2 linked regions of the Lonchura striata genome follow. The protein of the gene in region 1 purifies or fractionates together with the protein of each later gene. This does not show direct contact. Links are inferred from orthologs where the notes say so. Each region holds a gene or a part of one and is shown on either strand. Other genes may lie near its edges.

Region 1 (15,254 bases):
GGAAAAAATTTCAATGAATGCAAAAAAACAAATTGAAATTCAAAATATTTTCCAAGTAGAATCTGGAGCAAAGCTTCATGACTTTTTGCAGTATTTTATAGGACTGAGAAGAGTATCAATTCTACTTATCAGAACCAGCTTGCATTTGAGATATATACACAGAAAAAAACAGACCATAAGCTAATACCCTAATACTTACAAATGCATTACAGGCATACTGGTGAACAGTGTAGAGATAATCTGTCTAACAGCACCAGCGTCACAGAGGTTAATTTCCTCTGTTGAGAATTACCGCACCCATCAATGTAAACACGCAACTTTCAGGATAACATACAACACTTATTGCACAGAGAACATTAAGTCTTTCGAAGCAGACTTCTAAAGCCTTGCCACTTGTGCACGGATTGATAGACAGATTCTATGAGACTATTTTGAAAGCTTACATGAACAAACTGCAGACACAGACACACAAAATCTGTGGTGCAGGAGAGGGAAGTGTTCCTTACCAGCCACAGCATCTGTTACACTCCTGTCCCTGCTCGTGATGAGCACCTGACATTGATTATCAAATGCTTTTAACACCCAGGAATCCCAAATGTCATCCAGGACCAAAAGAGACCTAGTGAGAGAATAAATACTTCAGATCAACTATTAATGCTAAAATAAAGTATTGCATTTTAATAAAGAAACTTTTCATAATTTACAAAGTATCACTGCATAATTTTTTTTACATTAGTATGCACAATATCTTAATAGTATGTCCACAGAATGGTAACAAAGCTGGCAGAGGGTCTGGAAAATGTCCTAAGAGGCATGGCTGAGGGAGCTGGGGTTGTTTCATCTGGAGAAAAGAAGGACTGGGGGGGGACCTCGTCAATCTTTATGACATGAAAGGAGGCTGTAGCCAGGTGGGAGTTGGTCTCTTTGCCATGTCTCAAGTGGAAGGATGAGAGGAAATGGCCTTAAATTGTACCAGGGCAGTTCAGATTAGATATTAGAAAAAATAATTTTCTGTGAAAGAGTGGTTAAGCACTGGAGTAAGTTGCCAAGGGAGGTGGTGGAATCATTGTCTCAAAGCATTCAAGAAGTGTCTGGATGTGGCACTTAGGGGATATGGCTGAAAGGTGATTTTGGTGGTGCTGGGTGGATGGCTGGACTTGATCTTGAAGGTCTCATCCAACCTTGGTGATTCTGTGATTAAATACTGTGCAAGAAGCTGAATGCAGTTACCTCTAAAAGGTATTTACCATTTATTATTTCATAGCCACAACTGAAATGCAAACAACATTTTCAGAAAAATTTCCATTAGTAGATGCCAGGAAAAACAGAATTATTTACTGGATTTAAGTAAATAGGTATCACAAATTAAGAAAAGAGTTGTATAAAACTAGGTAACTCTGACACAGGCTAGTGATAAGCTTTGTGGGAAAACATTCAAGTTTCCTTTTGACTCAAGAGTTTTCAATTTTGTTCTTGTATCTTTGGAAAGCTGTATGAGACTAACCCTCCTGTAAAGCAAGTCTCTTCTTACATAAATGACATTTCATACTGACTACATATTCCAGTTGTATGGCGAGCCACATTTGTAGGTTCCTACATGGACTCTCACCAGAATAATGTACAGTAGACTTCCCTACACCTGCCTATATGTGACAGAGAAGTTACTGAAAATTGTTTTTAAAACATTGAGTTTAAGGGAGCAAGAAGTCAAAAAGACTAGCTGGCAAGCAGATATATGGAAAGAAAGAAAGTTTTGGCTATTGACACCTAATCCTATAAATCGTTTACATTTACTATGCTTGTTTTTTAAGGGATGGAATTTTCCACTCCACTAGTTACTGGTTAAGTTCTCCAATTCTCACTGAAGCACAACAAAACTTCCGCATTTTTGTTCAGCTAAGTGGCGCTTACACCATTGAAACCTATAAATAGAGATTTGATCTTCCTTAAAGAAGTTCATACATATCAGACCACATTCTCAAAGATATATTTAAGTCTTGGATACCCCTATCTCATTTTTATACAACACTTCTATTAATAACCTTTTGATAAATCAGAGGGTTCACAAGAATACTATTATAGCCATAAAGGGCTCGTTTTGTGGCACTTTCATGGTTGAAAAGATGATGAGTGACATGAATTATAGCCCGACTGTTGTTTTTAATTAATCTGAGCACTTCAAAGTCCTTCCATGCATTAGGCACCAGTGATTTTTCTCCTCCAGTCACACCAAAAAATCTAAATTCTAATAATATTTAAAAAATCCTTGTTACAAAGAAGAACCAAAACAAACAAAAACACATCCCAAAGCAACAAACAAAACCCTGTGATAACAATCACAGGTGATTAAATTCTGTAATTTCATATTTTAAAGTATACCATAGTTTCCATTTTTCATTTGACTAATAATTTAATCCCAAGAAACATACTGGCTTCAAAATTTGAATCCTTTGTCTAAGACTTTATGCCCAAGAGATGTACTGGGTTGGTTGTGTGAATCCAGGTATAGCTAAAGTGACTTTTTGCTGGCAAAGAGAACTCCAGAGCAGAGCCATCTTCCTCCCAAGCTGTATCGAATCTTTGTTTCCCATACACTTGCACCCTCTATGATCCTTACTAACCAAGCACATTCCTCTCTATTTCCTCCCATTCCACCCACTTCTGTATTGAAGAGTTTTGACTTCTTTTGTTTGTTAATAAACAAGAAATAACAATGGAAATGTGTCAGTGGAGACAGCTACTTTATTATCCTTCAAGGAAAAGTGCATGTTCAGCTGATAGATTTCTTTTGGAGGACCTGTCAATATTTCCCACATCTTTTCTTCAAACGAAAGATCTTTTTTCCCCCTGTACAGAAATGCCAGTATTCTACTCTGTTATCTATAAAGATCACAAAGTTGGCCTATTATTCCCAAGATAACTCATTGACAAGCAGGCTCATTTAGTTTAGTACAGATCTTCCCAGAGAATAATTAAATCCTCAGCAAATAACAAAAACTATTTCTCAAAGGTGAAAAAAGCTGTGCAATGACTGAGAAAGCTGTGCAATGACTGAGAAAGACAATGGTTTCTGGCAATAATTGGTCACCTGCTTTCACTTTGGCACCTCTAGACCAAACACTTTCTAAAGACACGATCTGTTCTGGAAATTAAGAATTTTCTGCAGTGATACACACTCTTTTTTCTGCCGTATGATCCTCACATATCAGTAAAGCAGTCTACACACACAGTGAGAACACTGAAAATTAGAGAAATCCTTATTTCCAGTTGTTTGTTCCCATCTTTCACTATTCAATCTCATCTTTCATTATTTCAGTATTCGCTTTTTCAAACAAATATGACTCCTGCACAGCTGGTTAACATATTTTGTTGCTAGAAGTCTTATTAACCTAAGCTAGGAAGTTGGATAAAAAAACAAAATACACACCACTGACACATGTAACAAAACCACAGATACCTCAGATGATTAGACCAAAGTTACTCTGCAAAGTTTTATAAGTAAAAGAAAAGTATTTGATTTTAGTGATATCACCTGGGGTATTTGCGTAACATCAGCAAACGAAGACGATCTTTAGCCTCCTCAATGTTAAGTGGTGGCCTTTGTGAAAGAGTGGAGTCATGTTCCAATCTACTACAGAGATTCTGAAGTTTTATGAGCAGCCCTGCTTTGTCCTGTTTCCCAACAGAGATCCAGTGAACTCCTCCTGGAAAGTAATCTAACAAGAAAAGCAATATTAATCATGCCATACATTTTAAATAATTTAAAATATTTTATAGCAACTTACAGCAGTAAGTCAGCATTAATTGAAACACAAATCTCTAAAATCTGTTGCAAGCCATCCTTGCAACTCTGCTATTAACACACAAGGGTGGTTCTACAAGACCACTCCTGTTTATTTTTAAAAGGAACAGACTCTGTAAGACAAGTACCCACAGAAATTTCACACCATCACTGATGCTGTTGTCCCTCCTTTCTACACGTCTTCCTTCCTGTCCCTCCACAGCCCCTTCTGCATCCATCTTTCTGCTCGTCTGACCTACCATTTACATTTTTAACCATGTAGTACTGCAAGAGTTCAGAGCCTGGGGTATGACAGTGATCAAGAAGATACCTAGATGAGTCAGCTGTAGCAGAGGATGCTATAGTATCTAACCCTACATCGTTTTTTCTTTAATGCCAAGTCCTACTTTCTCCTCCTAGTGTCCTATGCAAGGAAAAATAAATAAAATAGAAAAAATGCCATTAAATGTTTGTATCTATGATCTACTTTAAGCTAAGGCAATACTAATCACCCACAAATGTCTGCTACTATTAAAAAGTTTTTTAAACTCATATAGCAAGGAGTCAGAGGACCTTATAAGCAATGCCCAAAAGGAATATAACTGGATATATTATTTTGCACTAAAAGAAATAAAGATTTTAAGGTAATCAAGGATGCACGTACTCTCATAAACCACAGCAGATTCTAAGGTGAAAAGCTATTCAAAACCTTTTTCTACAAACTAATAGAACACTTAGTGGTCCTAGACCACCACATGGTTATGGAAGTTGTATATTGCAAGCAAACATTTCAGAATCACCTAAGAAATTAAGAAATCCAAATCACTTTCAAGGTGACATATGCACCATTCATGTCCAATATGTGTAAATCTACAGTGATTTTTATAAAAATACAGATGCTTTTCTGAAAGTACCTTCCAAGAGCTGAGGATCCCTTAAAGCTTCTGCTGTTAAAACAGTCTTCCCACAGCCTGCCATTCCATAAACTGTGACCCAACCTGGATCACTTCCCAAGCAGTACAGTTTCTTTTTAATAGCATCTACCAGTTTTGGTCGAGTGACAAAAACAACCGGTCTCTGTGGTACGCCTCCTTCGCAGAGAATGGTCTTCACTAAAGTTAAGAACAAGAAACATCAAAATAAAACATGAGTTCTAAATGAGATGCCTCTTCATACTCAACCAAACAACTCGTCATCCAAAATAACTAGTGGGCTTCCTCCCCACCTCATGTCCTATAAAAATGCCCTAAAATATGCTGGACTACAAATAACAAATAACAAAAAAATACTGCTTTTTAGAAATAAAAATACTTAGCATGTAACTAGCTCCCTACCTAAAGCAGTGTTCAAATTAATAACTGCATTGGGAAAGCTTATTACATTAATCCCTAGAAGTGAAGAGAGAATTAATATCTCCCATGGAAAATGTGGCAAACACAGGAGGTCAACATTACTATACCAAACAATCAAGTCACTTTCTCAGCCAGAGGTCAGCACACCGTGGATGCAGCAAAAAAGAAAGGATGCTGTGTAGGGCCTTTCCTTGGCAGTTCACAGCACAGCACTGGGGTCCAAGCAAGACTTCCACTGCTTTAAGCTGAGATAGCATGACTTGAAAGAGGTAAAGCATAACAGAAAAGGAAACGTGCACTTCATCTGCCCACTTTGTGGCTATATGAAGTGACATAACTGATAAACTTTGATTATCTAAGATAGCCTTGAACTCCACATGCCTTTGACACTTACTACATGCAGAGTGCCAGTAAATATGGCAGTTAGTCATATGCAGTTAGAAGGTTCTGCCCATTAGAAACTACAAATTTATTTCATGTCGAAGATGATCCTGATGACAATGCGGGTAAAAGTTATGGAACTTATACAAGGTAACTAAAAGATCTGATGGAAAGAATTAAGTAACCTAATAACTAGATCAATTAATCAATGATCAACTAGATCAATGTAGGTTGAGAGATTCCAGATTACTCTTCAAAATAAATATCAGAATTTTGGAGGCTACAAGTTTTTATTTTAATAGATACAAATGAAAGTCTGTCTTTCACTTACAACAAAAATTTTACAAATTAGAGAAAATAATAAGAGCATCAGTTCTTCTACCTTTTAAAATCAGCATTATTCAATATGAACACTTTCAAGGTGAGCTATAAAAATAGTAACTGTTGTAATTCTCCTGCCATATTAAGCAGAAGAAATAGACATAGTTACTATACTACCAAAATAAACAAATGCACCAACTGCTCCTTTTTCATTGGAACAGGTATTACACATAGCCACTTTCTAAGGATTAAAAAAGACAACTTTTGTTCACACTCCAGCACAGGGATTGCTGTAGTTACACTGACCGTAGGAAGTCATTCCATCCATTGAACTTTTTCTGTTACCAGACGAGACGGCAGGGATGCCGTCCTGAAGAAGTGCAGCAAGATCTCTGTACCCTTCGTGGAGCAGTGCATTATAAAAGGATCTATATGAATTATTATCCTTTGTAAGAATAATGTTTATTAGCATAGCTGCTCGCTCCTTCCGTGTATTCTAGAAAAAAAAAAATTAGAAGAGGTATTACAAAACTAAGAAACTCCAAAAATAATTTAATCTATCACTTTGTAAATTATAGACTATTTATAGTTACAGAAATAGTCTTTAATTTACCAAGCCCTTAACTTTATTGAGCAACAAAAACTGTGTGCTAGAATTCGATAAATACAGGAATTAGATAGTCAGAAATTACTATTTTTAAAAGGATGGTAAAATATGTGAGTAGATTAGGGAAAGAAATAGCAGTGAGAGATAATTCTACCTGTTGCTTCACTCTCTCCTCCTCCTGTAATGTCAATACTTCATCAGAAATCATACGATCCATAATATAAGAAGTCTTGATGTCATTTTCCAGTGCTTGACGATTCATAAGTAAATAGTTTCTACTCTTGACATCCATATTTCTTCAGAGTGAAAAAGAGTGGGGGAAAGTAAAGTCAGACTGGGAACATAACTTACAAGCATGAGGAAATAAGTTTTAGAACAGCTTATAAATTTTGGTGTTAAAATCAGAAGGAGTAGCAAAGCACTAATTCTGAAAATACACATTTTTTTTTCCCATTCCTATGAATTTATGTTTATGAACACTTTCAGAACTACAAAACCAAAGACTACAAGCTTCTCATATACTAGCATCTTGCTAAATGTCTCTATTCAAAGGTCTTCTCCCCACTCACTACATCCCCCATTTTTTTTTAAGTCCTTGGATTATGTGATTGGGTCAACAGGATGAGAAAGAGGACTGGCCTCATTGCACGGGATAAACGCATTGTTGTCTCCAAGTTCAAGGACACTTGGCTCCTGACATGATGGAAGAGGGAGCACCAACACTGCCATTGACTGCGCTGTACCTTCCTTTATCAGCATTTGCACACGCAACTTCAAACTTGCATTCTCCCTCCATATCATAAAAAACCAAATGTCTGAAGAAAACAGGTGAAAACTATTGACTACGGCATAAAGAACTGATCAGCGCCTCCGAGAGTCCCAATCGACCAAAACGCTCTCTCTGATGACACTCCTGCCAGGAAAGCTCCATAAACAAGTCGAAGCTTCACACAGAGCACACACAGAAGCGTTGGCCTTTTCCGGCACCCTCTCCTTCAGGAGCTGGGCAGACGCAGAGCAGCTGCCTTTGGGTAAGCCCGTGATGGAGAGCCCCTTCCGCCGTGCTGACAGAATTTCCTATAGTCACTAAAAATTACGTAGTTAAGAAAGCCTTGCACACTACCTTCATCCCACCGCACAGCGGAGGAAAGGGGACGCTAAACAGATAACAATACTGCTACAAGCGAGGCAAATACAGAAGAAATCGCTCCACAAACACACCCAAAACAAAGGGTTAACTCACAGCGTGCTGCTGTTGCCAGCCGCCAACCAAATGGAGACCGAGGCGCTCAGACCGCCCGCCCGCCGGCCCCTGCCCTGCCCCGGCGGAACCCTCGCGGTCCGGTGCGGTCCGTCCCTGCGCGTCCAGCACGGCGCTCACCTGGCGGGCAGCGGGGAGCCCCGGCAGCCGCCGAGCCCCGAGCCCCGCCGGCCCCGAGCCCCGCCGAGCCCCGAGCCCCGCCGGCCCCGAGCCCCGCCGAGCCCCGAGGCGCAGCCGCTACCCCGCGGCTCCCGGGCAGGCGGCGCCGGCAGCGCTTCCTCCTTCCGGGCCTGGGCGGGGAAGGGCCGGCCCGGCCCGCTCGGTGCCCGGCCCGCTCGGTGCCCGGCCCGCTCGGCGCTCACCGCCGCCGAACAAAGCCCCGCGCCGCCGAGCCCGGCCGTGCTGCCGGGATCGCCGCCCGCGGCGGGCGGGCCCGGACGTGGCGCAGCGGGCGGCGTGCGGCAGCCGCGGCCAGGGGAGGGGCCCGGGCCTGCAAACGTGGTGCCTGCGGGGCAGGGCGGCCCCGCCCGCCGCTGGGGCCGGAGGAGCGCGGCGGGTACGGGGCGGCGGCCGCAGGGAGGGGAGAGCGGAGGTCGGCGCTGCCGGGGCTGGGGAATCCTGCACGGCGGGCTCGGGCTTGCCGGGGGCCCCGGGCGCGGAGGGGATGTGGATCACTATGGGGGAGAAGAGGAGATGTGGGTCACTCTGGGGGGAGCGGAGGGGGTGTGGGTCACTCTGGGGGGAGCGGAGGGGGTGTGGGTCACTTTAGGGGAAGAAGAGGGGATGTGGGTCACTCTGGGGGGAGCGGAGGGGATGTGGGTCACTTTGGGGGAAGAAGAGGAGATGTGGGTCACTTTGGGGGAAGAAGAGGGGATGTGGGTCACTCTGGGGGCAGCGGACCGGTCCGGAAGGGTCTCTGGGGAGCTGCGGCTCATCCCTCTCTGCCGCACCGGGCTGCGCGCAGAAGCTGTCCTTTAAAAGCAGAGCTTTTCTCTCTTAAACTCTTTTTCTAACTATTATTCAGAGCTCTCTTTTTTCCCTCCATTTTAACTTAATAATATATTCTCTCCAACCCCAAGATGTTTTAAAAGCTTCAAAATACAATTTTTCCGTTTTGGTGGCTTCTTTTGTTTGGTTTTTGTTTTGGTTGCGTTTTTTTTGGTTTTGTTTTGGGGTTTTTTGTGTGTTTGTTTTTTTGTTTTTTGGGGGTTTTTTGTTTGGTTTGGGGTTTTTTTGTGTGTGTGTTTTGTGTTTTGTTTGGGGGTTCTTTTGGTGGATTTTTTTTTTGGAAATGAAAAACTTTTTTCTCCATGCTTCAAGCTCAGAGTGTACTTCCTAGTACTGTGGCTCAAACAGCTCTAAACTACCTGCATGACAGATTGGATTTTAAACAATACCTTTTACCCCTGTACATGACTATGTAAGTATCTCCAAATATTTCTATTTTGATATGTGACTAAGCAGCAATGCTGCTAAGTGATCCAAAACCCCAGCAGAACAATTTGGTCTCAAATTAGGCTAAAGCAACTCTGACAAGGATCAAGTCTATTTTGAGGAGTATGGTGGGAGATTTTAGGCTTAAAAACTACACTCTGTACTTCACTTGGATGGTTAAAATATGAGCTGGAGATTCATATTGCCTCAGTCTATTCTGATCTTAATTTTATCAACAGGAAGTTTTTCTGTTTTCTAGAGGAATGATTTAATGAATCTTCTGAACTTTTTTATCATGACTTTTTGTTAACTGATGTTTGTGATTTTACAGATGACATGAAATCATTACAGCAGAGCTACTAAATTAAAGCTTGATTTGCAATTTTATTTTTTAAATTGAAAAATTAACTTTCCCCTTTTAGTGTGGTGTAGATGATAATTCTTTTTTAAATCTACAGGTAAAACACAAGTACATCAGTGAAATTGCTGATGAACTTGTGACAGTCATCAGCTACAAAAAGAAATATACTTTTAATCCTTGTAATTTTAAATCTATGTTTAAAACAACTTATTCTATAACAGACAAAATATTTCTGGAAACATGAAGTTAGATTAAGCTTGGAAAGTCAATTCAGCTGGAGAAAATATGATAGCAATGCTCTGTAATATAGAAAGCAAGTGAAAGTATGATACTTTACTAGGAAGCATAGTGAACAGCAAAAGAAACATTTTTGGAGGTGTATTTATGTACTTACAGTTTATGTTTGAGGATGTTTAAAACGTAAGAAGTTAAAAACAAGTCCTTTCTCTTGTTTGTTTTTTTTTTCCTAGCTTTCTCCTTTGCTTCTGCTTTTTAAAACCACAAAATGTCTGAAGTTAAGACAAGGAAAAAAGGTATTTCTTCATCCAAGACCAATGAAGATTCACAGAAGGCTGAGAAGCACAGTAATTATGGGAAGCTGGCAAGTCCCAGGACCAGCAATAATCACAGTTCCTTTTGGATGGACTCAAGGACAAGCTTGAGTGTCGTTTCCCTTGCTGTTTGCCTGGTGGTGAGCTGGTAGGTAACCCTCTCTAAAGAGGATTTTAGTATTTTCTTTTGTATTCTGTGGGGTGTGTGATTTTCATGTTAGCAGAGAGCTTGAGCTAAGTGTCTACAGAAACATGTTAGAGCCAGAAGGATCCAGGAAAGAGTAGCAGTATTTACAAGCAGGGAAACATGGGCGTGCAGTGAGTTACTGTAGAAGCTCCATCTGTTACATGAGGTTGAAGGTGCCTTGCTCAGGAATTCTAAAGACCTGCTTTGGAGACTGCATCTTCCTGGAGAGCGACTTAGGCTGACAGGAAGTGCTCGTTGAGCAGGCAGTAAATGGACAGAAGAAGTGAAATAGAGTTTTCTTTAAATCATTTCCTCATCAGTGTAATAAACCGTTCATCAGGTGGAGTCCTTAAGTAAAGGTCAAATGCCTTTGTTAAAGATGTTTTAAAATATCTTAGCAGCATCAGTGCCTTAGTTACCCTAGCATGCAGTGTAAAAGCAAAGACATCTATCAATGCTTCCTTGCTGTCATACCTTTTGTAGAAGTATCAAGACAGATCAATTTGTTTTTCTTTTTTTGCCATATATTGATCTAGCAAATTTTGTGAAAACAAATCCCTCCAGTAACAATTTGCTCTGAATCAGGTCCTGAAATACTTAATATATACTAATTAAGAAGTTACGTTTTCTGTTTATTTGCTTGAAATTTCCAGGTTTCTATTTCAGCAGTCAGGTCAATTTTCTGATCTGGAAAGAAAGTACAATTTTTTACATCAAGAAGCTGAAAAAATCCTGGATGTGGGAAATAAAGTAAACTTAATTTCTGAAAAGGTAATAATTAACATCTCAATTGGATGATCTTTTGTGAACATTTGTCATTGCTTACTTCACTGTTATTTCATTAATTTAACTGCCTGTTTTAAAACAAGTTTTCAGAATGTGTTTTACTTGCCTGTGAATAGGCATTTAGAGACTATTTCATGTGACAAAGCATGTCAATCCATGCCATTGTTCCAGTAGGTTGTATCTCAGTATAATTTTTTAGAAACTAAAGTATTTTTAAGAACTTACATATATGCATGTTTCATTTACCATTCCTCTTTCATGTGCAATTCTTAGGTACATTGATTTGAAGAAAATGTACCGGCATTTTGATGTAGCAGACCTGTTCTAATAATATGAAGACATAATAAAGTGATAGATAAGAAAATACTATAGTAATGAAAAAAGATATTACCACGTGTGACATTATCCAGTAGAAAAGATGTGCTGGCTGCTGAATTATCCCTGATACATTATGAATAATGATGGAAGCATGGCATGGCTCATGCCAGTGATTTTATTTCAGCACTGATCTCTGAATTATGTCATTCATATATTATGTAATTTGGATATTTATATACTACAGATTTCAAAGTGTTGCATGGGATTTACTGTATTTTTGACAAAAAAAAACAAGCATGGAAAATTGCATATATGCTATAGAAGTTCAACAACAGACATACTTTTTCATGCTAGGTTAATCAATGATATTTTAAAGAGGAACCATGGAAACACACCATGGAGGAACTTTGTAACAAGTACAGTGGTTTTTAAGGGACTTTATTATCTCTTAATAAATGGAAATGGTTTTCTGTTGTTACTTTTGTTAAGTAGACACAGACATTGTTTTGTGTTGTAAATGCAGCTTGAGTCTTCTGAAAGTATCCTGCGAGAAGCTGCCTCATCCATCTCTGTGATGACTGAGTTTGGGCAGGAAATATCTTCTCTTCATAACACCATAAATGATATTCAGAACAATGAACAGACTCTATCTCTAAAGATGCAGAGAATTAATGAGAAGTTCCAAAATGTTACAAATCCCTGGAGAAGAAGTCTGGATGAAATGAACACAAATGCTAGTGGTTTAAAATCTGAAGCAAAGTTCATTCATACAGAAGTTACTTCCAAAATTAATGAAGTTGACCAAAGAATTAAATCCCTTGCAGAAAGAGTAAGAGATTTGGAAGACAGTACAGCCAGAAATATCAGAACACTAAAAAAGCAAGAAGATGATGAATTTTCTAGAGTTGAACAAAAGTTGAACTTGGATGCAAAGTCAGTTGAAAAGATAGAAGAAGAACAGAATAGTCTGGTAGCCAAGGACACAGACCTGAATCAGAAACTTGCAAACTATGAACCTAAAATTGAGGAGTGCAAGAGCCATTTGCCAACAATTGAAAATGCTATTCACTCCATTCTTAGGTTGTCAAGTGAATTGCTTGGTATGGAGAAAAAGATAGAGGACTTGAAGACACAGCTGTACGCTGTGGAAAATGACATGCTGAAAACTGTTTCTGATACAGTGGTGATGCAGAAGGCTCTTGAAGGCCTCCAGTCCAATGGCAGCTTGTTCAAAGTGCTGCATGAGCTAGCTGTTCTAGAAGCAGGGCCTGACATAGCAGTATCTTCAAAAGCAGAAGTAACTTTAGAAAGCTTTAACTTCGAAAATGACCAGAATGGGGATAAGTGAATTTGGTCTTAGTCTTTTCATTGATGAAAAAGCACTTTTTTATAAATAATGTGATTTAAACCTATATCAAAGATCACTGATGTACTGTCACTGATCTAAAGATCATTGGAACAGCTTGAAAGGTGGAGAAAGAGGGTAGTGAGCAAGGAAGTAACACTTTGTTAAAGAAGGAAAGTAATATTTTCTTAAATTAAGGATTATTTGCAGTTTTTTTATTAAAAACAATTTGAAGCCAGGTATTTAGATTTAAGGGGGGGAAAGTTAATATTTTTAGTTTGTATTTAGTTTTCACTACCTAGTTTCTTTTGTTGTTACTTTGTGTATTTTTTTCCATAGACTTGTAACACAGTGAACTGATGATTTGTGTTTTCAGAGGTCACCTTGGAAAGTCACGTGGCACCTTCTTGTAATTTTTTGTTGCAATAGAAGAAGTACTAACATTTATTAAGTATACTGACAAGAAAAAAAAAAATCTGGTTGTGTTATAACAGAAATTGATTTCCTAGAGACAGGTTTTGCACTCAAATTGAATGTCAGAATAGTAAGGTATTTCATTAAAGTATAGCTTGAATTTTGACATTGAGTTCTTAAGCTAGAAATATTTTTGTATCCCTCTAGTGTGAAAAGACTTGGAACTTAATGAAACAACTGGAAGATCTTCAAATAATTTCTCACATTAAATATCTGCAGGAAGATATTTATACAATGAAAACATGGTCTAGCAGCATAATTAAAAAACAAGAAGAACTGGAGAAGAATTTAACAAGCCTTTTTCATGCAGTTTCAAGCGCTGAACAGGATGCAGCTTCTGTAGCAAAAAACATAACATTGACAATTGTGACAGTAAAAACTGACATAAGGCGCATTTCAGGCCTGGTCTCAGACATGACTGCACTGACAGATTCTTTGCAAACATTAGAAGATAAAGTAGAAAAAGGTGAAAAGGCAACAGTAAAAAATATAGGTGACCTCCTTACCAGTAGCATCGACCGAAGTACGAAAATACAAAGCCTGGCATCCAGTAACGCAAGAAAAATTGAGCAAATTAAGACATCACTGTCTGAGTTAAAGAGCAATTTTGACAAGCATTCTGATAGACTTTTGAATCTTGAAGGTGACAGAGCAAAAGTTCTGAAGACAGTTGCATTTGCAAATGATTTGAAACCTAAGATGTACAGAGTTAAAAAGGAGTTTGCCATCTTGGAGCCCTTAATAAATGACCTAACACTGAGAATAGGAAGATTAGTGGAGGAAGTTTTGCAACGGCAGAAAGAAATTGCTTTACTGAATGAGAAATTGGCCAATCTAACAAGAGTTCAAACTGAGATTAAGGATGTGAAAGATGAAATAACTAAGATTTCAGATATTAATTGATCACTGAAAGGCAATTGCCTAAAGAATAATGTTTGAGGAGTGTGAACTCCCATCATGTGTAGTACTGAGAAGGCAGGCAATATTTAAATGCTTCATTTAGAAGCACACCTAAACCTGAAATTTGTCCTATTCTTTTGAACAGGACAGGAAAAAGTCATACTTATTTCAAGGGAGAAATAATAATGTGAACAAAAAATGTACCTCTCTGCATGTATTTTTCTTTCTGAAGAATGAGAGATGCTATATTTAATAAATTGGTTTTTTTGTATAATAAAGCAGTGTTAAAGTACAGAATTAAGTTCTTAGTTTTAGAGTTTGCTTTCACAAAGAAAGCAGGACCCAAGAATGACAGATCTCCAGTTTCACTTTCCTGCTGCAAAGGAAGGAATAGGATTGTGGTTTCCAGCTGAACAAAAGGTAGTCCAACAGCAATAGCACTTTGTCTCTATTTACTCTATGATTTTTGTAAACCAGTTTCTTTTTAAAATAATACTTAACAAGGTAAATGCAGTGAAGCAAGAAATCCTCAGAAATATTGCTGATGCTTCCAGAAAGTTTGTCATACATTCAGATGGAATAATTTGTGTAAGGCTTTGTGTGAGGCTTTATAATTGTAAATCAAAATTACTGCGCAGCACTGTTCTGTCTTTAAAACAGAACACTCTATAGGGACAATGCTCTGAAAGATGTAATAATGCTGCTGATGGCTTTATCCCCAAAGTGTCTGTTCAGAAATCCTAACAGTGTTAGTCATTCATTATTTCTTAGTCTGTAAAATACTAAAGTGAGCAGCAGAATTAGTAGAGAAGCTACTTGTATCCCAAAAGGCTACTGCTATGAACTATTGGGACTATTTAAGTGCTGAAGAACAACAGATTTGAGACATTTGAAGTAGACAGTAACAAGACAGTGGGAATGTTTAAGAGGAAGGTGGGGGAGAGAAGTGCATTAAATAAGAATAAAAATGGCTATAAATATCAATTGGAAGCAATACAACAATTCAGAAAATCCCTGTAAATGAAATCATATAAAGAAGTGTAAGTATACAGTAAAGTCTTTATGCCTTTTTAGTTGGCCACACCTTAACATCTGGCAACTACTAGACCCTCAATTGTATGGAAGATGCAAACATTCCTCTCCCTCACTATTTTCATCCTCATTCAGCATTCCATGTCTTTTGGTCTGCTTCATG
Region 2 (15,170 bases), on another chromosome or scaffold:
GGAAGGAATATAGACCTAATATCTAATATTCAGAGGAATTGTCCCTCTAATTGGCACTGGTGAAGCTGTACCACAAGTCCTGTGTCCACCTCTGGGCCCTCTCACTACAGGAAAAACATTGAGGCGCTGGAGCAAGTCCAGAGAAGGGCAACAAAGCTGGTGAAGGGTCTGGTGAAGAGAACAAGTCCTGCAAGGAAATCTGAGGGACCTGGGGTTGGGAGTATTCAGCCTGGAGAAAAGCAGGCTCAGTGGAGACCTTATCATTCTCTACAACTGCCTGAAAGGAGGTTGTAACCAAGTGAGCCTCTTTTCCCATACAAGAAGAAACAGGGGGACACAGCCTCAAGCTGTTCCAGGGGAGGTTCAGGTTGGACATCAGGATGAATTTATTTAAGGAAAGGGTTGTTAAGCACTGGAATGGACTGCCCAGGGAAGTGATATTCACCATTCCTGGAGGTGTTCAAGAATAACTGGACATTGTTTGCACTTAGTGCCCAGCTGGCAAGGTGGTGGCTGGTCACTGGTTGGACCTGATAATCTTGGAGGTCTTTTTCAGCTGAAATGATTCAGTGATTCTGTGATCAATAGCAAATAAATGGACTAAATAACTGGAAATAAAATTACAAAGTCTTATAGGAAACATGGCAAGGTATGGAGAAGTCTGATTTCCTTTCCTCTCTGTTCTCCAAACAAAAAAATCAACAGTAAAAGTAGAAATATGATACATACTGCCAGGGAAAGGCTGGTTACAGTCAATGTAGGAGCACTCCTGCAATGAAATCTGGCTAAGAGCACCAGATTATTGAGGGTACTGGTTCCACATAGGTGACAACCATATTTTTAAAATGCAGTGTGTGTGCATCTTTCTTCTTATCCCTATACATCAGGGAATGCTCATATAATCATGTTGTATCTCATAGTAAAAAAATAAACCCTGAGGCAAAGTGAAGGTAAAAGCCACACAAAACTACCTGCTTTCGTTAGCTCTTAAAAATTTAGAATTAAAAAACACCAATAAAAGGCAATGTCCCATATCTTAAGAACTATGAAACATCTTAACAAGAAATTGTCACCAGACACTTGTAACTGAATGGGGCCACCAGAAGTCAATTTCTGTGAATTATTCTAAGGGTGAAAATACAGCTTGGTATTTCTGCTTTTCATTTGAGTGCTTATGACCAGAAGACTGGCAGTGGGTAAGACAGGGACAGCACAGACTTACACACAAAAATATGCTTTAACACATAGAGGAAAGGGAAGATGGATCTGGAGAGTGGGTGATTCTGAAAGGAAAAGAAGCTGTGGCTCACATTGCATAAGCAAGCTGCACTGAACAGCTTTAATGAGATGTAAAACCAGCAGAGTTAATGACTTCTGATCTCCACTGACAGGTTTATTTTTATCCAAGGCTCTTTAAAATTAAATGCATAAATAACCTAGAGAGAGCACACCTCCCCTGCTCCCAGGTATGTATTTTGAACACTTTGTTATAGCTAGTTCCTCTTTTGCTAATTTTATTTTTGGCTTTCCTTTTGCATAATGACAGCTTCAACAGAGGCACAGAGCATCTTCTTCCCAGCACACAGGTTCAGTCTGTTGGTTATGGCAGCCTTCTGGAAACTGAGGATGTGAATCTGAATGGTGTTACAGAAGCAAACACCACCCACTTCTTTTACCTCCTGTGACACTGACTTCTAAGCAGAAAGCAAATATTCAAAAGGTGACCATCATATTTTCTGTATTTCAGATCAAAAGAACAATCCTAGAAAAAAACATGCAAGTACTCACATGCAAGCTCTAAATCATGAGCAGAGTGACAGCTACCTGGAGTCCTGATTCAGCATTCGCAGCACTGGGAAGGGGCAGGATTTCATACTCTTTCCCACGGTTAACATGTCCTACTGCTAGCTCTGGGCTGCTCACCTCCCAGAATAATCTGGTTTTCAGGGCATCAGTTTGAAATGGTTCAACTCATCCTCTACGTAGTAAAACAGACTTCTGTTGCCTTTAGCCCTGGATGAGATTTCAGAACGTGGTTTGGATAAAGACAAATGACAAGGCTTACTATAGAGGTAAACGTGTGCATTTCAACGGGCTTTGATGTATGTGAGGGACTAGAGTATCTAATTATTACCTATTAGCTGGTTTTGTTCTCCCCCCTGAACAGGAAGAGGATAGTGTACCACATTTCTTTTAGAAACTGATGCTATATTTTATATATAAAAAAGGAAAGTATTACAAAATCCCATACAAGACTAAATCTACTAAAATGAAGATCTTTATCTGAAGCAATTATTTACAATTGTACAGGCAGCAACAAATTGAACTTGCCCAAACTGGTGGTAGAGTGGTTACACTTGAATTGTTAAGACTCTAAATACACATGACAAGTTCTGTATTACTAAATGTCAATTGGATGTACAACTAGTACGTTTTTTAGCTTTGTAAGTATCCTACTTATTTGGAAGTCGTGCTATGAAAAGGTGTACTTTTGGATTACATCTTTTTTCCAGTCATTAACAATCTTCATTCATTTACGTAACTACACATGAAAATATGACAGTATCAGTTTCAAAGGTATGCCCCAGCAAAGCTGCGAACTAGTAGCCAAGCACAATTTTTACAGGATGGTGCTATGTTTGGCAGTGGTACTGATTCCCTAATTGGTAACTGTAAAGGACCTACTGAAATACCAAGTGTCTAGACTGGTATCACTGTCAGACTGGAAACCACTACACTAAATACTTCATGAAACAAAGGCAAACCCCACCCCTCTACTCTGTAATATAAACTTAGAAAAGAAGAACTGAAGTTTGATTATGTAACCGATCATGATGTCTCCTTCCCACCCTGCAAAGAACCACCCAAGGCCCCTTGCATTAACACTTACCTCAAGTGATAATCTAACCTCCTTCCAATAAGCCTTGCTTTCTTATCCTTTAGTAAAAACACCATAGTATTGCTTCTCCAGTGGCAAATGGCTGCTAGTTACCTACTACAAAACTTTTAAGCTATTGCAGTCTAGGGCTGTATACCTAGAAAGATGAAATTTTAAAGGTCTTTTCCCTAAAATATTATCAAGGATGCAAGCTTCATCTACAATTAAATTTTCTCAGCCTTCAGTGTTATGTAGAAGTAATATTTGTCTTTGCACAAATAGAAGAGCCATCCTCTGCTTACTTTGGGCAAAGGATATCGGCTTCCTCAAGTTTTTCTGATGATGGGTAACTTACTTGTTGCAAATGCTTATCTGTGCAGAATTACCAGGCTTTACTGAAAAATCCTCTTCCCTAATTTATATAGAGAAGAAACAAATTGTAAGGAGCTGCTTGGAGACCAGTCTTCTTTCCTAAAGGTGCTAACAGAACAAAGTGTCACAACTCTCTTCACCTTCATCATCCTGGAAGATTGCAGAACTGGGTACAGTTACACTCTGTATCTACAACTGCTCTGTCAGGATTTTGGCATGGAAAAAACCTCAGTTCTGCATAGCCATGAAAGTGCTATGACAAACAGCACTTATAAAACTTGAAACAGTAATACTACAATGTGAAGTTTTCTGTTAACAAGATTTTAGTAAAAAACACCTGTTGTTTAATAGTGTATCCAAAACTGCAAGAAATGCTGTTTGCAGGTTAGACCAGAAAAAAAAACTAATCACAACACATATGGTAGCAATCACTGAGACCACTGTTAGTAATCTTAGTTCTTTTCACTCATGTACTGAGTAAAGCCCTTTGCCATTCCATTATTAAGTACATTACTCCACACAAATCAAATGCAGCCTTATCCTACAGCACAGCTACAGCTTTTGAGTTACCTTGAGTCATCTACCATCTCACTCTGGAAACACAGCAAAAAATGCTGTTAGACAGCATATCCCTGAAGAGCTTTGCTGGCTCTGGTCCAAAATACTAACTTTGCCACACTTATACTGCCCCCACCAATTTAATTAGAATTGACCTTTTTCCACGTGTATTTTTTTTTGTCTTGTTTCCTAATGATGTAAATCTGGGCACCAAACTTTACTCTGCATTCCCACTGTTTTTCCACTTAATTTCATACACATACAGCAAGCAAGACTTTTAATTTTTTTTTTAATTTACAGTATTGATTGCTCCAAATTATGCCTTACTGTTGGTACACAGTAAATACATTCTTCTGAACAACTTAGTATGAAAAAAATGCAGATAAAACATTAAAAATACTGCTTTACAATGTGCGAAACAGAACCTTCAGAAGTAATGATGGTGGCTACAGCCAGGCACAGAGGAAGACTGCTTGATTTTGTGTTTTAGTCTACCAGCACAATCATTCCCGTATCCCTTAATCTGAAACTTTCAATAACAATGAATTCTAGGTGAATGTTTCTGCTGAATTAAGAAGATTAAATAACTCTCAGCTTGGCCACTAGCACACGTATTCCCAGAAGAGGATGCTTTCTCTTACACTAAGAATGGCTGTTATCAGAAGATTTACTGAGCAAAGGGCATCAATAACACATCAAAACTGGAAATGTTTCTGAAGGGGAATTATATGGGTGCATGCAGCTGTCAAAGTCTGGATAAATTAGGTAACATGCTTCCCCTAGATAAAAGACAAGTGGCTGGGCACAACTGGCAGTTCACAAATAGTACTTAAATCAGATGAAATGCATTTTTATCACAAGCTTTAGATAGATTAATACATATTGCAACACCTAGCACTGATTAAATTTAGAAAAATATTATACTGGGATTGGGTTTTTTAATAGCCTTTGTTGTTAATGTAACAGAAGATGTATGGCAGAAGATGCCAAAAAGCACCCTGCTTTTTGATCTTCAGGAGTTGAGCTGTCAAAAGTTATTACACTGTTAATGATTACTCATTTGATTATTTACATATTTTTTAAAACAATGAAGAGGCAGGAAATGTTTATTTATTTTCTTTTAATCTTTATGATCAAGGATGACTGTACCCAATTACATAGTCTTTGTTAAGTTAATGGCTGCCAAACAAGTGTGTACTCCAGTGACCCACCGTGAGCAAAGTCATCTGATGGGTGAGACAGATTTTAAGGTTAGACACAGTACATGTAAAAATAGAAAGTTTAAAAACCAATCTCATCACAGACATTTCCATTGCCATCTCCTTTGTGAAATAAATAAGGCAGCAGATAACTTTTACTTTGCAGTGGCAACTTTGAGGTATGCTATTAAGTCTGCTCTCTCGCCCTTCTTCTTAATACCCGCAAAAATCATCTTTGTTCCAGGAATATACTTCTTTGGATTTTCCAAATACTCCATCAGAGTATCCTCACCCCAGGTGATACCTGAAAGAAGGTAAAAAGAGAAGAGTTAATAAATTCAAAATAGTAAACACATATATTCTTGTCCTCTGCTCAATTTTTGGCAAATTTTTAAAATTACCACCAAGAACTGAGTAATTTTGTCCCCTAAGGACAGCTTTAAGTTTACCTTTGTTCTTATTAGCATCCGTGTAAGAGAAACCTTCAGCTTGCCCAGTCTTGCGTCCGAATAGGCCATTCAAGTTGGGCCCAGTCTTATGCTTGCCTCCCTTTTCAACCGTGTGGCACTGGGAGCATTTCTGAACAAAGATCTTCTTGCCCTTCTCAACGTCTCCCATTGTCAGTACTAGACCAAGAACACACACAGAGGTCAGTATTGCAACCTCAAGGTCACCGACTGAGCTGAAACTTTTAAAAAGCATCCCGTAGGTTTACAAAACCAACATAAGCAGCACATGAATCTGGCAATTCTCCAGCACACTGTCTATCCTCAAGCCACAGCTCCTGGGCTTGAAAATCAGTATGAACCCACGAGACGACCTAAAAGGTATCAAGGTGATAAACACACTTGAAGGGCGGGAAAAACCTTCCCTCATACAAACTAATTGCCCCACAGCATTTAAAGGGTACGGCGACAATTTCTGAGGAACAAATTTAACGCAACTTGTACAACAGTAACTGGAATTCCCTAGTCGCGAACGACCACGTGTAAAAGCACAGGACACCTGACAGGCTTTTCCTCTCAGCTGAAAAAGCGCACCAGCCACGCACCCGGGAGGGCGGGAGGGCGCCCGGCTGTCACCACGGCCCGGGATGACCCCAGGGGTCCGGCCGGCAGCCACGCGTCAGCAGCGGGAGCGCCCAAGGGCGCCCGCCCCGCCTGGCCCCGGCTCTGCCCGCGCCCAGCCCGGCCCTGAGCTTTCCTCAGGCCCGCACCCGCGGTGGGCCGCCCGGCCCCACGGTGACCTTCCGCCGCACCCCGCCGCCGCCTCAGGCCGCGGCAGGAGGGAATGGCCTCAGGGCGGCCGAGCGCACGGCCCGCTCGCCCCATGTCCCCGCCAGCCGCCGCCACCCCGCGGGGCCCGGCCGCACCTGCCCGCCCGGCTGGCCCGCTGCGCCCTCAGACACCGTGACCGCGCCGCCGGCACCTCCCGCTCCGTCTGCGCCCAAGGACACGCGGACTCCGCCCTAAGTAACCCGGCACCGCCGCAACCAACCCCGCGGCGCACCGCCCGCCTCTCCGCCGCGACAACCAATCAGGCGCCGGCCGCTGGAGTTCTGATTGGCTGCAATCAGCTGACGTCACGGCGCCGGCGGCTAGTGGGGTAGGTTGAGACCGGCGGGCCCCCGCACTTCCTTCCTTCCTGCCCCTCTTCCCTCCAATCCCGGCCAGTGACGTCAGACGTCATCTGCGGCGGAGGGGGCGCGCAGCAGAGGGGCGCGAGTGCTGTGAGCGCATGCGCACAGCGCCAATGGAAGCAAGGGTCGCGCGGCGCCCTGAGCGCGCGGCCGGGCGGTGGGCGGGGCCCGAGCAGTGACGCAGCCGGAGCCGCGCCCGGGGCCGGCTCGGCCGGGGGCGGTCGGGCCGTGAGGGCGGCCGCAAAAGGCGCCGTGACGGAATTACAGCGTCGGTGCGGGCAGGAAACACCTCCGTCCTCGAGTCCGTTCTATGGAATGAACTCCGCCGTGTCCTTCAGACTATGGCACTGAGTGCCATGTCCACTCTTAAACACCTCCAAGGACAGCGGCTCCACTCCCTCCCTCCGCAGCCCACTCTAATGTCTAACCACCCTTTCTGGGAAGAAATTCTTCCTGATGCCCAGCCTGAACCTCCCCTGGTGCAGTTTATGACTGTATTCTCTCCTCCTGTCACTGGTTGCCTGGGAGAGGCCGACCCTCACCTGGCTACAGCTTCCTTTCAGGGAGTTGTAGAGCGGATAAGGTGTCCCCTGAATTTCCTTTTCTCCAGGCCAAACACCCACAGCTCATTTAGCTGCTCCTCACAGGGCATGTGCTCCAGACCCTTCACCAGCTTGTCCCTGAGTTTCAAAAGCTTTCCCAGAGGAGCCAAGGGAATAGTGGTGCGGAAGCGCTGCCGTAGCCGAAGTGAGGCGAAGTCGCCCCGGAGAGCGCGGCGGGGCGCTGCCGGCACGGCGCGGCCATGGGCTGAGGGCAGCGGCTGACCCTCCGGCCGTGCCGGCTGCGGCCGCGCCGCTCTGACACAGGCGAGAGCCCTGTGGAGGGGACTGCCGCCTGAAGGCATGAAAGCGTCCCAAATGCCAGCCCAGCAGTGTGGGAGTGCTCCAAGAGGACATGTCAATATTCACACATTGTGGCCTTCCAAGCAGAATTTTAATGGTGAATTCCAGACATGCCTGCCATCTCACCCTCCTCGGCAAGGAGGAAGAGCTGTTGGAAAAGCCCAGTGTAGTAATGTCCAGTGTTCAAAAGAGTTGAACTGTTTGCTTTACTATGGACATTAAAACTGTCAGAATTTTTCACTGTCTGACATTGGAAAAACATTTTATTTTCTGTGTGTGCTTTTATGTTGTCCTGGAACTGGTATGGGTGTGCCCCTCGAACTGCCCATGGGGCAGGGCTCATGTGAAGTGTTAACATGAAGCAGAAAGGAATGAGGACTGTAAAAATACATCAGGGGTTTCTCTGATGGCAGAATTTTTGTAGATAATTCACAAGACCATTCAGAAATCATCACTCCCTAGTTTAGACAGTGCATTGCCTTCCAAAGCTCACGGTGTCTAGAGCATAAGACACAGGTTTTGTGCATTTTTTAACACTTCATCACAAAGTATATACAAAATACACATTCTTAAACTTTTAGCAATTTATGCTGTAATCTGATTGACAGTTCGCTAGCCACAGTAAAACTGTTTTGATTATGATATACAGATAAATTCATGTACTTCATGAAGAGTGAGGAAATATGTGCAAGGAAACCACTTTAAATCAGGACGTTGAATTCTGCTGTTGTTGCACAACTCAAATCTCAAATCATGTCAGATTCCCATAATTATGAGGTTGACTGGAAAAATATTATTTTAAAAACTAAAGGCATCCTCTGTTTCTTTCATTTGCTGTGTGGTTTTGAACCTTCACGGTGCCTTTCACTCTTGTTTTTAGACTTATCATGATTGCAAGGACTGAGTTTAATTTAGTAAGGCTTCTCTACCTTAGATGATTCCAAGGGCCGGATGTAACTTAGTATCACAAGATCTGTGATAAAACCATGTCTCTTCTATCTCTAAAGAAGAAGGGAGCTGAAAGCACCTTTTAAGCTGCTCTAAGAAATTGCACCAGTGTAAATTCTTAAGCCTCTTTAAGCACTTGTGGACTGATGCGTGCTGACATCTATTCAGAGGTTCTCCCTTTCTTCACAGAACACAAACTTCAGGCATCTGTAGCTCTTTTTATTTCTATTGCATTTTGCCTTTTAAATATGTATGCTCCATTCTGAGAACTTCATGTTGTGTTTCACAGTTAACCCTTCTGATGGGGAGGAAAAGTGTAGCAATATTTATTCAGTTTTTTTCCAAGAAGCTGTTCTTGAAAACTCCAGCTTAATTCAAGGTAACCGGATTGCTTTTTATTAAACTTCTGAAGTAAGGAAATAATGCTTTCGGGGAAAATACTCAACATTTGAGCTTTCCAGTGTTAAAGATTAGCATGCTAAAATCAGTCTGTAAAATGAACTCTTATTTTCTCAGCCTCAGACCGGACCATGCAGATGTCTGCTCTGTGACTAGCTGCCAGCAGTCATGATATAATACGCTTTCTTGAAGGTGTAAATGATACAAACAGAATATTAGTGCATTCCCATACTGTATTATTAGTGGAAGCAGAGATGCTGTCTGATACAACAAGATAGTAGGTTAGGGGATGTGTTTTCACAATAAAAAGAGGTATCTCAAATGGAGTGAATTTCTCATATCTGTTTGAGCCCATTTGGGCATTACTAAGGTTGGATCTGAGGCAACACCATGGTAAGAACTGATCTGTAAGTAAAGTAGAAGGTGTAAGAAAGGGTGCTGTTCAAGGTGCCCAGTGCTTACTTTTTGAAATGTTCTGTCATAGGGCAGATTAATAGTGAAATTTTTGGCTTCCCTTCTAAATGTGGCATCTCCAACATACGCTGCAGATATTTGTGAAATATAGGTGAAATCCTGCATCTGGCTTCCTGCATAGGGCAGAGTATGGTGTGGGGCTTCCAGAGGCAACACTGAAGACGAAGGCAGGACTTTTCTGTCTTTGTGGGTTTGAATTGCTGGAGTAAATGAAAATGACTCAGGGTGCAATTTCAGTGCTCTATACTTTACATACATTAACATTCAGTAGACTAATTGCATTGGTGTGGTTTGCCTAGAAGGCTCATATTTTAGTCTTTTCAGTTGTTCACTGTGGTTACACCTGGAATACTTTTTCCTAGCTCAGGCCATTACACACTGGAACTACTGTTATTTTGCAATTAGAATTATGTGTGTAACCAAATGTGTCAAGTCCAATAATAAACAAAACATGTTAAAAGAGGCATCCAGATCTCTTTAAGAGGGACATTGCAAATAAAAGAAAAAACATAGCCCTGCATTATGGACCTAGACTGGAACTCAGGAGAATATGTGATTTTTTTTTTTCCCTCAACTCTGTGCTAAACTTCTGGTTCAGTCTTTGACAAATAACTTAGAACCCATTTCTTGTGGAAATCATCACCTCATCCCTATGCAGTTTGAGTACCTTGGCCTGTTTTCATCCCTTTGCCATGTGGAAGTGGGACATCCCTGAGCTGTTGTTGATTATCAGCAAACTGCGCCAGCATTGGGGAGTGTACGATTTGAGCTGGAGTCATTGTGGTGTTGAGCTGGTTTTAAGAAAGCATTGGAGTTATGACCTGAATCATAAATCTTACCCCATCACAAAGTAGTACTGACTAACATGCACTGTTATGATTTCTAATTGTATTGAAACAATTCAGAAAACCTGTGGGTTTTTTTTTTGTTTCTTTCTTCTGATTTTATCTTTGCCTTTGGAATTGTTTGGGAGAAAGGCATATCTCTTCTTGGGTTTTTCAAAGCTCAGTTTATAAAGATGAAAGAGTTATTCTGGGCTGTGCTTGAAAAGTTTTTTATGCTAGTATCCTTCAGAAAGGAATATTCCACAGTGGCAAACTTTAGGGTTTAGGGTTACTTTTCAACACTTTTATGGTACAAATCCTGTCACTTGGAATATACTGCTGGCTTTGCGTTTATTATGCCTTTTACAGGCTATTCTGGGGGAAGAAGGAACCTGTTCACCCAAACAGGCAGGGAACAAAGTTGAAAAGCGTTAGAGACTCAAAAGGAAATAAAAATGTCTGATGAATGGTGTGCCTCTAATCTCTGCTGGTTGTTGTATTTTACACAGTCTCAGACAGATAAGCCAATTTTGCTACTGCTTTAAACAGTTGCAAGGGCAGTCTCTGAGATGCTACAGTTCCTAAAGGTGACTGAATTCCTTCTTAAGAAAAGCTAAATATTGGCTTAGCATCTAGTTTTGTGTAATATTTTACCAAACAATTCTTGGTTTTATTTTAAGGACTGATTTTTGTAATTTCTTGTGGCAGTGTATTTATTCTTTGTGAAGTTGTCTCTGACAATGTTGTGGGGTTTTTTTTAATGACAAGTGTTACATTGACTTGAGTACCTGGATTGCATTAAATACTTAATTGCCATTATTGAAAAGGAAAAAACTATTACCGTATTTAAAAGAACTGCTGGTGTACTGTCTCATTACTATCTTATAAAGACAAATTATTTGGGAGTGGGACATAAAAATATTTTCCACAGCCAATGTATAGAGTGGCAGTTGAAAGATTTGATCTTGACAGAGGAAGGCCGAACTTGGGATTCTTTCTGCTGTTGCTGTGTTTTTGGAGAGTGAGTTTTGTGAAACTGTGAAAGCAACTACTTGGCACCAAGGGACATAAGAATGTCTCTTAAGTGCCAAGTAATGAGAATTGCCTAGCCAGGATGTTGTAGTTTCTACTTAGGCACAGGGTGAGGCAATGCTGCTCAGCATCTAAATGAGCTGTGAAAAAAATTACAGAAGGCACAGGTAGAGACAGCAGCCAATTCAGACAGAGTAGAAAGCAGAGTGGGAAGCTAGGAGATTGCCAAGCTCTCCCAGCTGAATCAATTGCACAACCATTATAATGCCATGGCTTACCAAGTGATAAATTTTCTGATGAGTTTAACAGGTGTGAAAATAGCAAAGTACTTTTACCATTCTGTGATGCTGTGGTTCTAAGCCTCAGGCATGAAGATTTATTCAGCAGCCATTTATTGTATGATAAAGTGTCCCCAGAACTGGGGTAGGTAGAAGTCTCTGTCTTTCATCTGGCCTGTGGGGAGCTGGGTAGATAAGGAGATCCAGGGTTCAGAGTCACTCTTTGTCAGCTTAAAACAAACACAGACCTTAAACTGAGAACATTGACTCAAGACCTGCCTTGACTGTGTGGAGACACAGGGTTGCCCTGCTCAAGCACTTGCCTCAGTAGCTGCCTGCAGACTGATAGATGCCTTCTTATCTGTGGGCTCACAGAAAAATAACCTTGGACCTCAAAATAGCATGTGTGGGATACAACTTCTCTGTAATAAGATGATGGTTTAAAACAAAGGACATAACAGAGGCATCTTGTTTGAATGAGTACAGAGGAGTAGCAAGTATAAAATGTTAGTGCATGAAGTTGGGGTAATTTGCATGAGGCACGGAATAGCAAGAAAGGACTGAATGCAAGACTTGTCCTAGGATGGGACTGCATCAGCTTCTGGTTTACTATCAGAAAAATCATTCTGAATCCTTATAATCCATTTCCCATAGTGAAAGTGGGTTTAAAAGAGAGGTGATTCAAGATAGCAATTTAGAAAAGAAAAAAAAAAAAAAATTTTTTTAAAGTTCAAGGACAAAGTTAATTAAGTTAACCAAGAAGGACATTTGAAAGATTCAGGACCCCAGCAATTTTCCAGAAGTTCAGCTTTTCTTAAAGACATAAGTGTTTATTTTGAAAAAGAACTTCAAAATTAACTTTAAGGCTTCAAGAACTGAAAGGCAAATGAAAGGATATTCTTTTATCAAGTCCATTATGTGTTTAACTTTAGTGTCATGCTATTGTGGAGTCTGCCACAGTTTACTGCAAATTTTAAATTAATAGAGGTATAATAAATGTCCTTGATCACTGTCTGATTGCATCTGACAAAAAACATGCTGTGATAACAGTAATTTCTACTGGCCTCAATTTCAACTTTTGGATGGCAAGTAGTTGGTCAAAACTACCCCATTTTCCATATTTTTTTTTCTTTGTAATGAATCAAACAGTTGGAAGAATTGGTGACGTATTCTATTTGGAGGGGATGAAAATTAATTACATTGATAGCACATTTTCTTTGTGTATCTGTGGGAGCCAAGGATTACTGTCCTCTCACTTACATGATCAGCTGGCATGTAGTCTTCTGAATAATCCAAGCTGTAGAGTGAGAAGTACTTCTGCAACAGCCTAAATTCAGATATTCTGAAATTAGTCTCCTGTTGTATTATGACATGAAATAACTCACACACTCACACTAAGATTAAAAGACTGAAAGGAAGCAACTTTTATTTTTGACTTTGTAATATATAGGATTCTAAAAGTGATAGTGGATTGGAGGATAAAATTGCTACTTACTCTAACTGCACTGGTTAAACTAATAGCTTATCAATTTTATTTTTTCACAAAGAATAATGTAAAACTATTATTTACATGAACAGTGTGTGAGAAGGCTAGTAGAAATATGTAAACATCAGAAGGGCAACAGTCTCTAAAGCATCAGCTTAGCCCCAAGAAAAGCTTAAAATTAAGAGTCCTTTTGTAAGGAGATTTGTATGGTTGGGTCTCCTTATGTAATGATGATGTGCTAATTTAATGTAATCTATTAAAGCCTATGCAGTTCTTGTGTCTAAGGTATAGGCCAGACAGGAGAACCTTGCTTGAAATACGAGCACTAGTATGGTCCCAAGAGTCACATGTGGGTCTTAAAAATAAAAGCCTTGCTTACCTTAGAATTTTCAAAGGAGAAACCTTTATAAAATAGAGATGAGGCCATAAACTGGCAAATTTCTCTCCACTCTGACAGAAATTGAACTGGTGTGCTTTGGCAGGCTTAAGTCTTCTAAGCGTAAACCCAGTTCTCTACAGAGCTACAAGGCCTCTGTGTACAGCATCAGGAGAAGCTGTTGAATGTGAAGCCTGACCAAGACCTGAGAAAACATGTTCATGGATTGTCTTCTTCCTAGAAAGGAAGTCACTCCTGCAGGTGGTAGAACATATGGGGTGTTTCTGTCAGTGGAGAGGTGGATTTCCTCCCTGTAAGAATCTTATGCTTGTTTTACTATGCTTTTTTATTGTGTCAAATTTTCATGAGTTTGGTCACCAAGTAATCCCCTGGCTGGTATTTTTGGAATCAGATTTTAATAGCCCAGCTTCATTGCTTCTTTTTACATCAGACTTCAGGTATGCGTCAAGTGTTCTATCAGACCAGATTATAGGTTTAGTGCTGTTTCTGACAGTGATGAATGCTGGATGTCTTGCAGACACAAAAAACTACCCTGGATGAGTTTATAATCCTAAGGCACGGAGTTTCAGAGCTCTGAGAACGCTTAATCCAAACTGCTAGTGTGGAAGATGTTTTTCTGATGTTGTTAGGACATGTCTCTAAGGCTTTTAAAAAAATATGTCAATCTTTTTGCCTTCATCATATTCCCAGACTTTTTTGCTCTTTGTTACTTAGGAAGTGTGAACAAGATATCCAAATAACACAATATTCTGTCTTTTCTGCTGTCCTGAATTGTACTAGAAACACAGCAAAAGGCAGGGGTCTGCATTTATTTTAAACAAATTCCTCCAATAGGTAACAACCATCTAAAAATCCATTTATGGCTGAGTTGTCTTCAGCAGTTCTTTGCAGTAAGTTTCTTTATACTTCACTTTTACATTTCATCTGTTATTATGCTGCTCGGTTATTTTCGTACAAAGTCCTCTAGATGCTCCCCAGGACTCTCCTTGAGTCCTAACAAATGCATAAATCACCTCTTTTAACAACTAAAATCTCATTGTTTCTGAAATGTGTGAAAGTGGGATAGAAATTGAATATCCTCTCCTAGTGGAAAAAATGGTCTTTGACTCCTGTCATGTCATTTTAGTTATATCCTTTTGGTAGCCTTGGAGCTCTTTGTACTCTAAATACTTGCCCAGGAAGTAGTGCACTACTGGGGCACAGTGTCCTGGCTAACCTGAAGATCTCACAGATTAATAAGGTCATAGGGGATTTATGCCATGATTCTTTGCTAGTATCTCTTTTTTGTAAGGGAAAGTACAGTGGATAAGGGCTAGCTGGAAGCAAGGTTCTGTTTGAGCCATGTATTCAGAGTATGATCCTGCCAGTCTCCTGAACTCTGGTGATTTGCTTGAAGGGAGAGGGAAATATATCTGCTTCTTTGATGGGACAACTTAGAAGAATGCAATGAAAAAATTCTCAATGAAAAACACAATGGTGTTTTTCTTCTTCTTCAGGTTCTCTCTAGGAAACAACTGATTAATTCCTCATTTATTTTAGAGTTAAAAAAACCTCTGATGAATGTGTGCTGTTTCTGCTTCTCTAATCCCCACTTCTCTGCAGCTTCTTAAGATGTGTATTGAACCAATATGAGCTGTTCCTGAAAAAGCTGTTCCAATATTATGTTCCTGAAATCTGTGTAGCAGCATCATAAATCTGTCAGCACACAGAAAATAGCAATTTAAGTGTATTATTTGCATTCTATTATGAGATTGCTTTCAACAGATATTTCCTTTGCTGCTTCC

The links.
Region 2: the proteins of APAF1 (region 1) and CYCS purify together in Homo sapiens (affinity purification with western blotting; 3 studies listed by BioGRID and IntAct, with this or other methods). This does not show direct contact. The link is inferred for Lonchura striata from reciprocal best matches to the Homo sapiens genes APAF1 and CYCS.

Annotation. Positions count from the first base shown.
Region 1 is NC_134607.1:55,457,981-55,473,234, reverse strand, and holds the start of APAF1 (apoptotic protease-activating factor 1), read right to left. Parts: upstream 7,884-15,254; 5' UTR 7,824-7,883; intron 7,814-7,823; exon of another isoform or gene 7,686-7,813; intron 6,739-7,685; 5' UTR 6,735-6,738; coding exon 6,597-6,734; intron 6,332-6,596; coding exon 6,142-6,331; intron 4,894-6,141; coding exon 4,696-4,893; intron 3,717-4,695; coding exon 3,533-3,716; intron 620-3,532; coding exon 507-619; intron 1-506. Other genes in the region: IKBIP (inhibitor of nuclear factor kappa-B kinase-interacting protein), read left to right, coding at 10,004-10,197, 10,890-11,007, 11,864-12,688. UniProt on the Homo sapiens protein: Oligomeric Apaf-1 mediates the cytochrome c-dependent autocatalytic activation of pro-caspase-9 (Apaf-3), leading to the activation of caspase-3 and apoptosis. This activation requires ATP. Isoform 6 is less effective in inducing apoptosis.
Region 2 is NC_134603.1:124,383,942-124,399,111, reverse strand, and holds CYCS (cytochrome c), read right to left. Parts: upstream 6,515-15,170; 5' UTR 6,380-6,514; intron 5,634-6,379; 5' UTR 5,626-5,633; coding exon 5,457-5,625; intron 5,312-5,456; coding exon 5,163-5,311; 3' UTR 4,081-5,162; downstream 1-4,080. UniProt on the Homo sapiens protein: Electron carrier protein. The oxidized form of the cytochrome c heme group can accept an electron from the heme group of the cytochrome c1 subunit of cytochrome reductase.